Linked DNA regions of Xenopus tropicalis. The protein of the gene in region 2 purifies or fractionates together with the protein of the main gene of each other region. This does not show direct contact. Links are inferred from orthologs where the notes say so. Each region holds a gene or a part of one and is shown on either strand. Other genes may lie near its edges. The genes, in order: rela, ctnnb1 and btf3.

Region 1 (3,654 bases), on a different chromosome or scaffold from region 2:
TTATCTGCACCCCGATGCCTACCCGATGGATATCTGGCCTCAAATTGGGCAGATCTCGATCAGGCAGGCTTGATTTTCTGTCAGATCAGGGAGCACATCGGCTCGTTGATGCGGTCTCCGATCAGAAGGCGTCTATGTCTGCTATTGCAATTCGATTGTTGGCCCTAGGGATGGCATATCAGGAAAAGATCTGCTCGCTTGGCGACCTCGCCAAATAAGTAGTGTAAGGCTACTTTAACAATGCACAATAAATACAGTGGAACATATTACCTTTAAATGGCTTAAAGCGGTTATTGTTGCAAAAGTTCACTCTACAAAATAAGAAAGGGGTAGTTCACCTTTTAAATTAACTTTTAGTTTGCTGTAGACATTGATACGCTGAGACAATCTGCATTTGTTCTTAATTTTTTTCCCAGCAGGTCTCCAGTTTGGCATTTAAGCAGCTATCTGGTTGCTAGAATCCCCAGCAACCAGGCAGTAGTTTGAATGAAAGACTGGAATACGAAAAAGGAAAGGGTCTTAATAGGAAGACAAATAATAAAACAATAAAATTATAGTCTCAGAGGGCAATAGCTTTTGGCTTTCGGGTCAGTGGCCCCCATTTGAAAGCTGGAAAGAGGGAGAGGAATGCAAATCATTAAACTATGAAAAATAATGGAGACCAACTGAAAAGTTTCTAGGAATAAACATCCTATAACATACTAAAAGTTAATGTAAATTTACAGTGTTGGACTGGGATGCCAGGGACCCACTAGAAAACCTTAGACCATAGGCCTACTCTCCAAACAATTTTTTTCCACTTCTTACTCAATCTCTATATTTTCCTAGTTTTTTTTTATCTTTATATACTATAATCTATTCTTCTATATATTTAGTTGCTTTGTTCCCATAGAAAAATAAGCAATGGACCTGAATTAGGCCAAATCGCTAGAAGCAGCCATTTGCCCAGTGGGCCAACCGGGAATTTTCCTGTTATCCCTGTGGGCCAGTCCAACACTTTAAATGTGAACCACCTGTTTAATGTGGTGATATGTTTTTTTTTTTCTCCAAAGATCAAGTGATACGGAGAGTCACCAAATTCTGTCATGCAGTAATGCCAATCCCAGCACCCATTGCCCCGAGGATGGAGCTCTAGAAGTAAATCAAACCACGCTCACCAGCACACCCTGGCCTTTCCACTCTGTTCCACCTGGTGCACAGTATTTAGAGAGACTTCGGCACTCTCCACCACGATCCAAATAGCACAAAAATACCGGCACAACAGGACTTGTTTAAGTGGGATAAACCCTGCTGATTTTTAATAGTAGCAAACCATGTACATGGTTTGCTACTATTAAAAATAAGCAGGGTTTATCCTGCTTAAAGGAACAGTAACACCAAAAAATTCAAGTGTTTTAAAGTAATTGAAATATAATGTACTGTTGCCCTGCACTGGTAAAACTGGGGTGTTTGCTTCAGGAACACTACTATAGTTTATATAAATAAGCTGCTGTGTAGCCATGGGGGCAGCCATTCAAGCTGGAAAAAAGGAGAAAAGGCAGAGGTTCCATAGCAGATAACAGATAAGACACCATTGTATTCTACAGGGTTTATCTGTTAGCTGCTATATAACCAGTGCCTTTTCTTCTTTTGAATGGCTGCCCCCTTGGCTACACACCAGGGTTTATATAAGCTCTAGTAATGTTTCTAAAGTAAACACAAAACTTTTACCAGCGCAGGGCAGCAGTACATTATAGTTTAATTTCTTTGAAATATATACATTTTTTGGTGTTACTGTTCCTTTAAACAAGTCCTGTTGTGCCGGTATTTTTGTGCTATTTGGCTCTAGAAGCAAAGCAATCCTGGTTACAGCAGCCCAAATAACAACTCTGGCATTACACTTTACCTTGTACTTGATGATAACTAAACTGCAGTAATCCATTTTGCTGATAGAACTATTCTATTTTCTTTTTTTAGTTTCTAATTTTTTATAAGATTTATTTACAAGATAATAGATAACTTAAATACCTCCCAGCATTCAGAAAAATAATGTAACTTCATAAGGATTTTGGCTGGCATATTTTAACAGAATCTGCATAACCATAAAGTCATGTAAAAGACCCACAGTTTTTCAACAGAAATGGATTTAAGCACAAGACTGCTGGGTCCCTTCCCAAAACCTGCAGCCTCATACTTTAAGCTGCAGGCCCTAGTTCAACAACCCCCACCCCACTAACTTTCTTATCTTCAAGGTTCTTTCAAGGCAGACTACCTCCTGCAGAATGCTGCACACCCACACTGAATGTGTTCATTCATGCCATTTTGTGGATGATTTGCTATTTAGTAGAACACAATGAACTTACTAAGAAGATCAAGTAGAAAACTATATGCACTGACCTTAATAGTGGGATGAGTTTTTGTTGTGTCAGTGCTTCGTTCACCTGGAATGCTTCCAGCAGAGCGGCCTTCACACTTGTAACGAAATCGCATCCCTCGCTGTTTTGGCTGTTCTATAATTTCCACATGTGGGTGGGAGGAAGGCATGACTGTGCCTGTGCAATGGGAGTAAAACCAGAAAGAATATATACTGACAAGCTGGAAGCAAACAAACTAATATATGTTAAAGTGGACACAGTCTACTATCTAAAGCAACTGCTGGGATCCCTAATCCACAAAACCCCAGTCTCAAGCATTCTGGATAATAGATCCTATAACCCAGGGATCCCCAACCTTTTATATCTGTGAGCCACATTCAAATGGAAAAAGTGTTTCCATTTGTGGGAGCAACACAAGCATGGAAAAAGTTCCTGTGGATGCAAATAAGAGCTATAATAGGCTATTTGGTAGCCCCTATGTGGACTGGGAGCCTACAGAAGGCTCTGTTTGGCTTTACACTGGGTTTTATGCACCCAAAACTTGCCCCCCAAGCCAGAAATTCAAAAATGGCAAACTACTTTGCAGCCACTGGGAGCAACAGCCAAGGGGTTGGGGAGCAACATGTTGCTCACGAACCACTGGTTGGGGATCACTGCTATAACCTGTACTTTCATTGTCAGCAGTAACTAAAAGGCAACTCTCCCCGAGTTGCCTTCCCCTGCCATCCCACCGGCGAACATGTAAGTCGCCGGCGGGATGGCAGACGGGGTGGCGCGATTTCGCGCAAACCGCCGAAAAAGACTCGCGAGTCTTTTCCGCCGATTTCCCGAAATCGCCCCACCGGCGACTTACATTGTTGCCGATGGCATGGCAGAGGAAGGCAACTCAGGGAGATTAGTCGCCCGCGAACAGGGAGTTTTGCCGCAGGCGACTAATCTTCCCGTGTGCCTGAGCCCTAAGTTGTTCAGTGTCAATAACACACAAAGCTTTCCTATCATTTGTATCTGATAAAAATGCAGCAAGTAAAATGTCCTATACACGTATAGGACCTGTTATCCAGAATACTCGGGACCCAGATAAGGGATCTTTCTGTAATGGATCTACTGTCTACTAAAAAATAATTTAAACATCATTTAAACTCAATAGGATTGTTTGGCCTCCAATAAGTATTAATTATATCTTAGTTGGAATCAAATACAAGTTAAATTTTTTGTATTACAGGGAAAAGGGAAATTATGTTAAAAAATTAGAATTATTTTCTTATAATGCAGTCTATGGGAGATGGCCTTTCCATAATTC
Region 2 (3,754 bases):
CTTTGGAGGGGGCAGGGCAAATGTACCCTCTCCTCTAAGCTTTGGTTTAATATTGAGCTCTGTTGCAGCACTTCAATCGTGCAGGACTCGTGTTACAATTCCAACGAAAGAGTTAATACTTCCCCCTCCTTTCTTTGTCTCCAACTCTGCCCTCATCGGGCTCCACATTCCAAGCCTAGGAGGAAAAAAAACAGCTCCGGCCGCATTTCCTACTGAGGATCATTCCGCGTTTAAGTCCTCCAATCCGCACAATGAGCAGGAATGAATCTCATCTCCGCCCAAACTGTTCGTCGCTTCCAAAACCTGACACAAAAACTTTTTAATGCTTAATTCAGTAACACCCATGCCTGTGACAATTGCCACTATATCGCCATTAACTAACTTACGCTTCCGTACATACACAAACCATTAACAGTTGGGTGGCGAATTGCATCTTTAGGTTTACAAGAAACATTTATGCACCAGCTCTACTCGAACGTATCTGCATATTTCATGCGGAGCATATGATAGTATTACAATTGCCCTTTTAGTATTTTCCGCAGCTCTGTATACAACAACCTAGGGAGGGCATTTGCTTTGGGGAAGAACTATTTTTTATATTTCCTTCTGAATCACTCCGCCCACGCCCCGTTTATGAGACCTTTTCCTGCCGCCGAAGCCCGCGGAAGGATATTCACACGCGTATGTAATGCGACCCATATAAAACAAGGGTGTGCGGCGCCATTTTAAGCCTGTGTGTCGCGTTTCAAGCGAACGGGAGAGTAGTGCGTTTGTTCATGGCTGGGAACTGAAGGGGATCAGAAACATAAACGGGGAAAAGAAAATCAACGCTCTTGCCGCCATACCCCGTCCATCTTAAAGTGGGACACAATTCGGAACCTGCAGGGTCTGGAGGTGTGTAGGAGACGGCCAGTACCGGGCGAAACGCGGTGACGGCCGGAACCGGTGGACGTCGAGCCAACGGTAAGATACTGCAAATGTCTTTTTATTTTTTTTGTAGCTTCGGTGTCGCTATCGATTGTTACCGTACCTAGGAAGCTGCTTGGGGAGTGGTGGCATTTGTGGTTATGCAACAGCTGGGGAGCCACATGATGGAGGTTAACGTGGTCGGATCTGTTTGACTTGACTTGGCAGTGTGGTTAGTGCGTTTTTTTTATCTTTTAAGGATTGTGGGCAGGTACTGTACATGTCTGCGGTGTGGAACTTGCGGCCGCCTGGCCTCGTTGGGTAGAGCATTGTTTGGAGTTAAGGATCAGAAACAGGGCCGGAAGTTGGTTGTGTGTGTGTGCCTTTGTACTTGTCCCATAACTGTACTGCATAGTATTGTTGGTGTGTAGGGGGGTACCATACAGTCCTATTTAAGGAATCCCAATAGATACGTATCTAAACTACCCTTTCCATCTGCTTGTTGGCACCTTGTTTAAAAGCCGTCTTTGTGCGTCAGCGGGCTGGCCCTCTTTCCTTTGATTCTAGAACTTTTATAATGTGTGTTTTGGCATGGAGTGATGTGCTGAGTGCTTGCAGGTTCTACTGCTTTTGAGATGTGAGAACTAATGTGCAGGAATGGAGAATTCTATCCAGTGTATCAGATTCACGATGCGGGACATGTATAAATCCATACGTTGTTTTAGGGCAGCTTTGGGAATGTGTATATATTCCCCCTCCCTGAAACTCTCCCCTGTGTACTTAGTGTTTCAGTGATGGAGCTGTGAAATATGAGCCACTCTTGCAACTTTTTTTTTTCTATTCACTCCCTGTCTTGGCCTAGGGTGAGGCTCAGTCAAGCCAGGATATTCATCGCCCTTCCGCTTAGAATTAGTGTTTCCAGTGTTTTGTTGCAGCAGTAAGCTATAGTCATGGGCCCTACTATCCTATCGTTCCAGCTAATGTGTACAAGGTTTGGCTTCCTGTAAGAAACCTTGTACGTATTTGGGTTTAGATTTTAACTTGTGGGTGCCAAAACTTGTGATTTAATGCTAAGTTAAATGATCTATATTATAAATTAAGCAAATGTTACTGAAGTACAAACAATTGCCGCTTCCCATGGAGTAGGTAATGTGAGAGTAGCTCACTTGTGCCTTTCAGTGTGCAAATATGCAAACAAACACCCTCAAGCTGAAAAGTGTTTGTGGTGGAGCTTGGAGAAATTCAGGTTAGTGGGAGGTGGCATTAGGTGCTTTTTACTGGGATGAAATCTGCTCATGTGCTATAGTATTGGCTAACATGGCTTTAGTTGAGGTTTTGTTACATATCAAGGCTAGTCTCCAGGACATGGATTTTTCTTTCCCCCAACTCCATCTCCACCCTCTCCTGTCCTGAAAGTATGCAGGGTAGTGAATAGATTAGACTAGTCAGGAATGTGATCTTAAGAGAAAATGTGGTGCAGAAATTCCAGGCACTTAACACATTTCTAGCTGTTTTGTGCTGGGGCACGGCTCTTATTTGACAACTAACTAGACTAAATATCAACTTTAATACAGCTATGGCTTCCGATAAAAGCCACCTTCTCATGTTAAGCTATGGCAGTGTTTTGATTGTTTCTCAGTTGCAGCAGTCTGCGCACAAGTGGTGGTTTTGTTCCACCAGCTGCAGTAGGAAGGAAGGGCCTGCTGGCAATTCATGCATTGGGGCATTTGTGGCTTCCTCTCCAGTTAACAGTACAAATGTTTAGTGCAAGTATTGTAGCCGATGTGGTAGGGCAAATATTTGTAACTAGCCCGTTTTGGCACTAATGCAACTGCATGTTCAGAATGGTAGAGGATTTGTTTCCTTAAACAGTTCAGTAGGTGGGCAGTGTGCACTTTGCTCCCTCACCTGCCTTTGACATGGGAAGTATGTTTCCTTGATCTTGCAACTATCTTGAAAACATGCTGTTGCCCATTGGGAAATGGCCAATTGGACATGGGGGGGTCTTTCTGTTCACTGCTGCAAGAATCAAAGGTCCTAGTCGGTGACCTGTGTGCATTTCGGGTCGTAAGTCTACTTCCCCAGACAGTATCTCATGGAATTAGTATGTTCTTAATGTGTAGCATTTTTTTCTTAAGTTTCTTCTATGCTCCCAAGACAGGAAGGTTAATTGGCTCCTCCCCAGAGTGGGTGTATGGTAGGAACCATAGATCATGCTTCATTGGGGCAGGGAATGTTACTGTATAAGCTCTCTAGATTGCCATAGAACATGTTGGCTCTATATAAAGCATAATAGTGGTTTGTAGCTGCTAACTGGCAAAGACAGACACTTCATTGTTAACTGTGCGAGCAGCACTATCTGGTGTTAATAGGCCTTATGGAACAGTGCTTGCCTTTGCAGTGTCCTGGGAAATGACCAGTACAACTAACTATACTTTCTGTGTGAGCAGCAAAGTACTTCTATAAAAGCTGCATTAGTTTCCTTGCCAGGAAGTAAAAGTGCAGCTACCACTAAACATCAAATTTAAATGAAGCACTGTGGCGTGTACTAGCTGCTTTAAATGTTGTCCTTTTAGTCAAACTCCTGCAAAAAACTAGCCTTTGAAGTGTTAGCATGCAAATTCAATCCATGTGTGTTTGGGAGGAGCAGGGGTCTTTGGTTTGTAGGTTTGCCTTACTGCGTCAATGGCATATTACTTTACTGTTTAAGTAGGTAACTTTGTTCCATGTAAACTTAACATTATTGAAGCGATAGATGGACTTTCCCATGGGGTTTAAGTATGCTGTCATGTGTGTAACTAGATTTGTCTTCAGTGTTGCTAAGTGCAAGGAACTGCAGCCTGCTGTA
Region 3 (3,481 bases), on a different chromosome or scaffold from region 2:
AGTGAGCAAACCTTCCATTACAGTTCAGGGGTACATTTTGTCACCTGTATCTGTTTCAATTATATGTTTATAGTGTTTAATATTCTTAACTGCATTATAATGTCATGATCGTAAATGCTGAGATAACCTGGGCCTGTCACTCGCATCTTTCTTTATGCTGGTGATATACTTGGTGTATACTATCTGTACACTGTCTTCAGTTAGTTATTCAACATTTCCCTAAATTTTCTTCTTTTGATTTTTGCTTTTGTTAGGGGACAGCCCGCAGAAAGAAGAAGGTTGTGCACAGAACAGCAACTGCCGATGATAAGAAACTGCAGTTCTCTCTGAAAAAACTTGGAGTGAATAACATCTCTGGCATAGAGGAGGTAATGTCTGCGTTGCTGCCATTGGATTCTGTGTGCACACTAGCAGTGAAGTATTCGGTTTCTGGGTGTTTAGCACAGATACATGCAACGTCTAGGTTAAATGACAACTTAATAATAACAAATTAGGTTAAAAAAGAGAATCTAATAGTTATATCCCACTGATAGGTCCCGAATCAACATATGAATAAGCAACAGAAGTTTCAGTGGAATAAAAACTTTTATTGGCTCAAAGTAAACAATTCACTGGGATGCACCTATCCATTGTCTGGTATAGTATATCTTATATGTTTGCTTTTTGTTGAATTGTTTAATTTGAGCCAATAAATGTTGTTTTTATTCCACTGAAACTTCTGTTGCTTAGTCTAGGTTAAATGCCTAGCAACTAGATCCTGGATCTTCTATAGCATGATATTTTAACGTAATGGGATCACAAGCTGACGGTAGAAGGTGACTGTGTTTTCTTAAGAAAACTATCTTTTAGGAAGTCTGTTCAAATTAGTTTTTTGTTTACAGGTGAATATGTTTACAAACCAAGGAACAGTTATTCACTTTAACAACCCCAAAGTCCAGGCTTCCTTGGCTGCCAACACATTTACCATTACTGGGCATGCTGAGACCAAGCAGCTTACGGAGATGCTGCCCAGCATTTTAAATCAGCTTGGAGCAGACAGCCTTACCAGCTTGCGGAGACTTGCAGAGGCCTTGCCTAAACAATGTAAGTAACCTCCCTCTGAAATGTATTAGCCAGTTTGGCTAAGTAGAGGAACAATGTTAGGATACCTTCTGTTTGCTTTGCTTTCTCTGCAGTAAATTTTGGTTCTAGGACTGCAAGATACTGTGTGGTTATGGGAGTCAATATAGGTATAAATGTAAAAATGTACAGTCCTTAATTGATGGGTTCTACATGTAGCAAATGATTTAATGACAGATTAAGCGCTGCCTCTCAGTTTAGCTTTTCTTGCTTACCAATGTACTAACACCATGGCATGGATATGCACTTTTGTCCAGATTTTGCCCCTGCCAGTTCATTCTTTTCTTTTAGACAACATCATGGTGTTAATTTTCTTTTTCTGAAATTTGAACAAGCTGAGCAATCTCTCTAACATTCACCAACAATCGGCCCTATCCCGCGATGTTTGCTGTTTCTTAGTAAACCCTGGAGCCTGACATATCTGGCATCTCATTCTGCCCAACATCTTTACTCTGTCAGTTGTCTGTGTATTTTCTTGATAAAATAAGTTAATATGGCACAATCATGGAATGCTGCAACTTCTCTGGCTTGCTACATAGCAGGTTACATAACATCTCAGACCCCCATTTTCAGTATGGGCATAATGTGCAAGTTATGAAAGCAGAAAAAAGTGTTTATAAGATAACTGTTCTTGCCTATTTAAATTTGTCACTACAAAGGCTATCAGTTTTAGGGCAAAGCAGAACAAGATATTTGCCCCAACAAACTATATTTATTTGCTTACATGCTACAATACCTAGCATTGCCCCTGATAGCTGAAAGCTTGTGGGGTTGGACCTCATGTATGTTTATTTGTAAAACAAGAATAAGGGGATACATATGCTCATAAGAGAGAGTTTACATCAAATCTCACCCGTAGTATAGTTGGGCCCAGGTGCTCATGCCCCAGACTTTCAGCTAGAGGGAGCCATCATGGATACATCACAAACATCAATAGGCAGGCACTCCGGGAAGTGCCTGCCTATTGATGTTTGTGATGTATCTATGTTTATTTGTAGTTAGGCCCCCCTATAATTACACATTTCTTACCAGCCCTCACTTGCTAATGGTGTGGCCAGCTAAGCCATATGGAGAGTAGTTATTCACATCATGTGGAGACTGGGTGCCCTTTCAGTTGTAGACTGACTATAATTAGTACACTTATTTTTTAATTTGTTTTTTCAGCTGTGGATGGGAAAGCACCACTAGCTTCTGGGGAGGAAGAAGATGATGAAGTACCAGGTAAGACATAGGCATATCCAATGTTTTATTGTATTTGCTAACCTTGGTTACACTATAGTCTATTTGAGATTTATTTTTAAACTGGATATTTGTAGATATTTACTATGCCTAGTAATGCAAATATTTACCTATGGGGATGGTTGAGTGGTTAGTACTGCTGTGGGGCTGTTTGGATTTAGTTATGAATTCTATGTGCCTGCTGCTGGAGTCACAAATCGGTGTGAGATTTGTTGTAATCACGGCTGTTTGCTAATCTTTTTTTTTTTTTTTTTTCCCCCATCCTTTTTGCAGAACTGGTTGAGAACTTTGATGAGGCTTCAAAGAATGAATCGGTCTGAATGAAAAATATCTAAAAGGAACAAAACTTGAAAAGCTGACGGAGCTCCTATTTTATATTGTGACTGCATTGCCTTTGTGTGTGGTTTTTTGTTGTTTTCTTTTGACCTTTGAGATTAAAAGCCCCACAGATTTGAAATTCTTTCTATAGCAGCTCTGCAGTAACTGCATTCATCAGATAATTTGCCTTTGCAGCCACATAAAGTGAACAGTCCTGGAAATTAAAATGTAAATGAATAAAGAATAAACTTAATAGGAATTGCGTTTTGTATACATTAGCTTTGTTGAAAAAAAAGTTACTTGGTTGGAAACCTATATGTAGAATCTAAGGCTCTGGCACTGTCAGTACTAGCACCATAGATGTTATGATCTATTGCATGTAAGGGGTTAAGCACATCTGACTTTAGTGCCATGCAGAAACATAAGGTTGGGATTATAACTAAGAAAATATTTGCATGACTACTGCAGAAAAAGTTATAGGGTTAGACAATAAGTGTCGCACCACACTGAAGTGGTGTAACAAAAGGGGTCAACAAGTGAGAAGAGCATAGAGTGTAAATCAAAGATGTTGGAATAAGGGCAAATACAAACTAGAAAGGGAAATTTGAAAACAAACTTCATGTTGGTTTGAAAAACTTGAAGTCACTGAATGAAATCTGATCTGTTGTTGGCTTCACCCACTTTTTCTAACCTTGGACCAAAGTTATATAGTAAAAACCACTGCAAAGTTTGGGGACCCTGGATTTAATAGTGTCTGGCAGCAATTTAAAGTCAATGAGTGACATCTAATTGGCAATTTTTCTAA

Evidence for each region.
Region 1: the proteins of ctnnb1 (region 2) and rela purify together in Homo sapiens (co-immunoprecipitation; 3 studies listed by BioGRID and IntAct, with this or other methods). This does not show direct contact. The link is inferred for Xenopus tropicalis from reciprocal best matches to the Homo sapiens genes CTNNB1 and RELA.
Region 3: the proteins of ctnnb1 (region 2) and btf3 purify together in Homo sapiens (affinity purification with mass spectrometry; 3 studies listed by BioGRID). This does not show direct contact. The link is inferred for Xenopus tropicalis from reciprocal best matches to the Homo sapiens genes CTNNB1 and BTF3.

The regions. Positions count from the first base shown.
Region 1 is NC_030680.2:38,471,421-38,475,074, reverse strand, and holds part of rela (transcription factor p65), read right to left. Parts: intron 2,532-3,654; coding exon 2,377-2,531; intron 1-2,376. UniProt on the Homo sapiens protein: NF-kappa-B is a pleiotropic transcription factor present in almost all cell types and is the endpoint of a series of signal transduction events that are initiated by a vast array of stimuli related to many biological processes such as inflammation, immunity, differentiation, cell growth, tumorigenesis and apoptosis.
Region 2 is NC_030682.2:53,356,892-53,360,645, forward strand, and holds the start of ctnnb1 (catenin beta-1), read left to right. Parts: upstream 1-903; 5' UTR 904-963; intron 964-3,754. UniProt on the Homo sapiens protein: Key downstream component of the canonical Wnt signaling pathway.
Region 3 is NC_030677.2:183,322,835-183,326,315, forward strand, and holds the end of btf3 (transcription factor BTF3), read left to right. Parts: intron 1-254; coding exon 255-368; intron 369-881; coding exon 882-1,083; intron 1,084-2,283; coding exon 2,284-2,340; intron 2,341-2,631; coding exon 2,632-2,678; 3' UTR 2,679-2,935; downstream 2,936-3,481. UniProt on the Homo sapiens protein: When associated with NACA, prevents inappropriate targeting of non-secretory polypeptides to the endoplasmic reticulum (ER).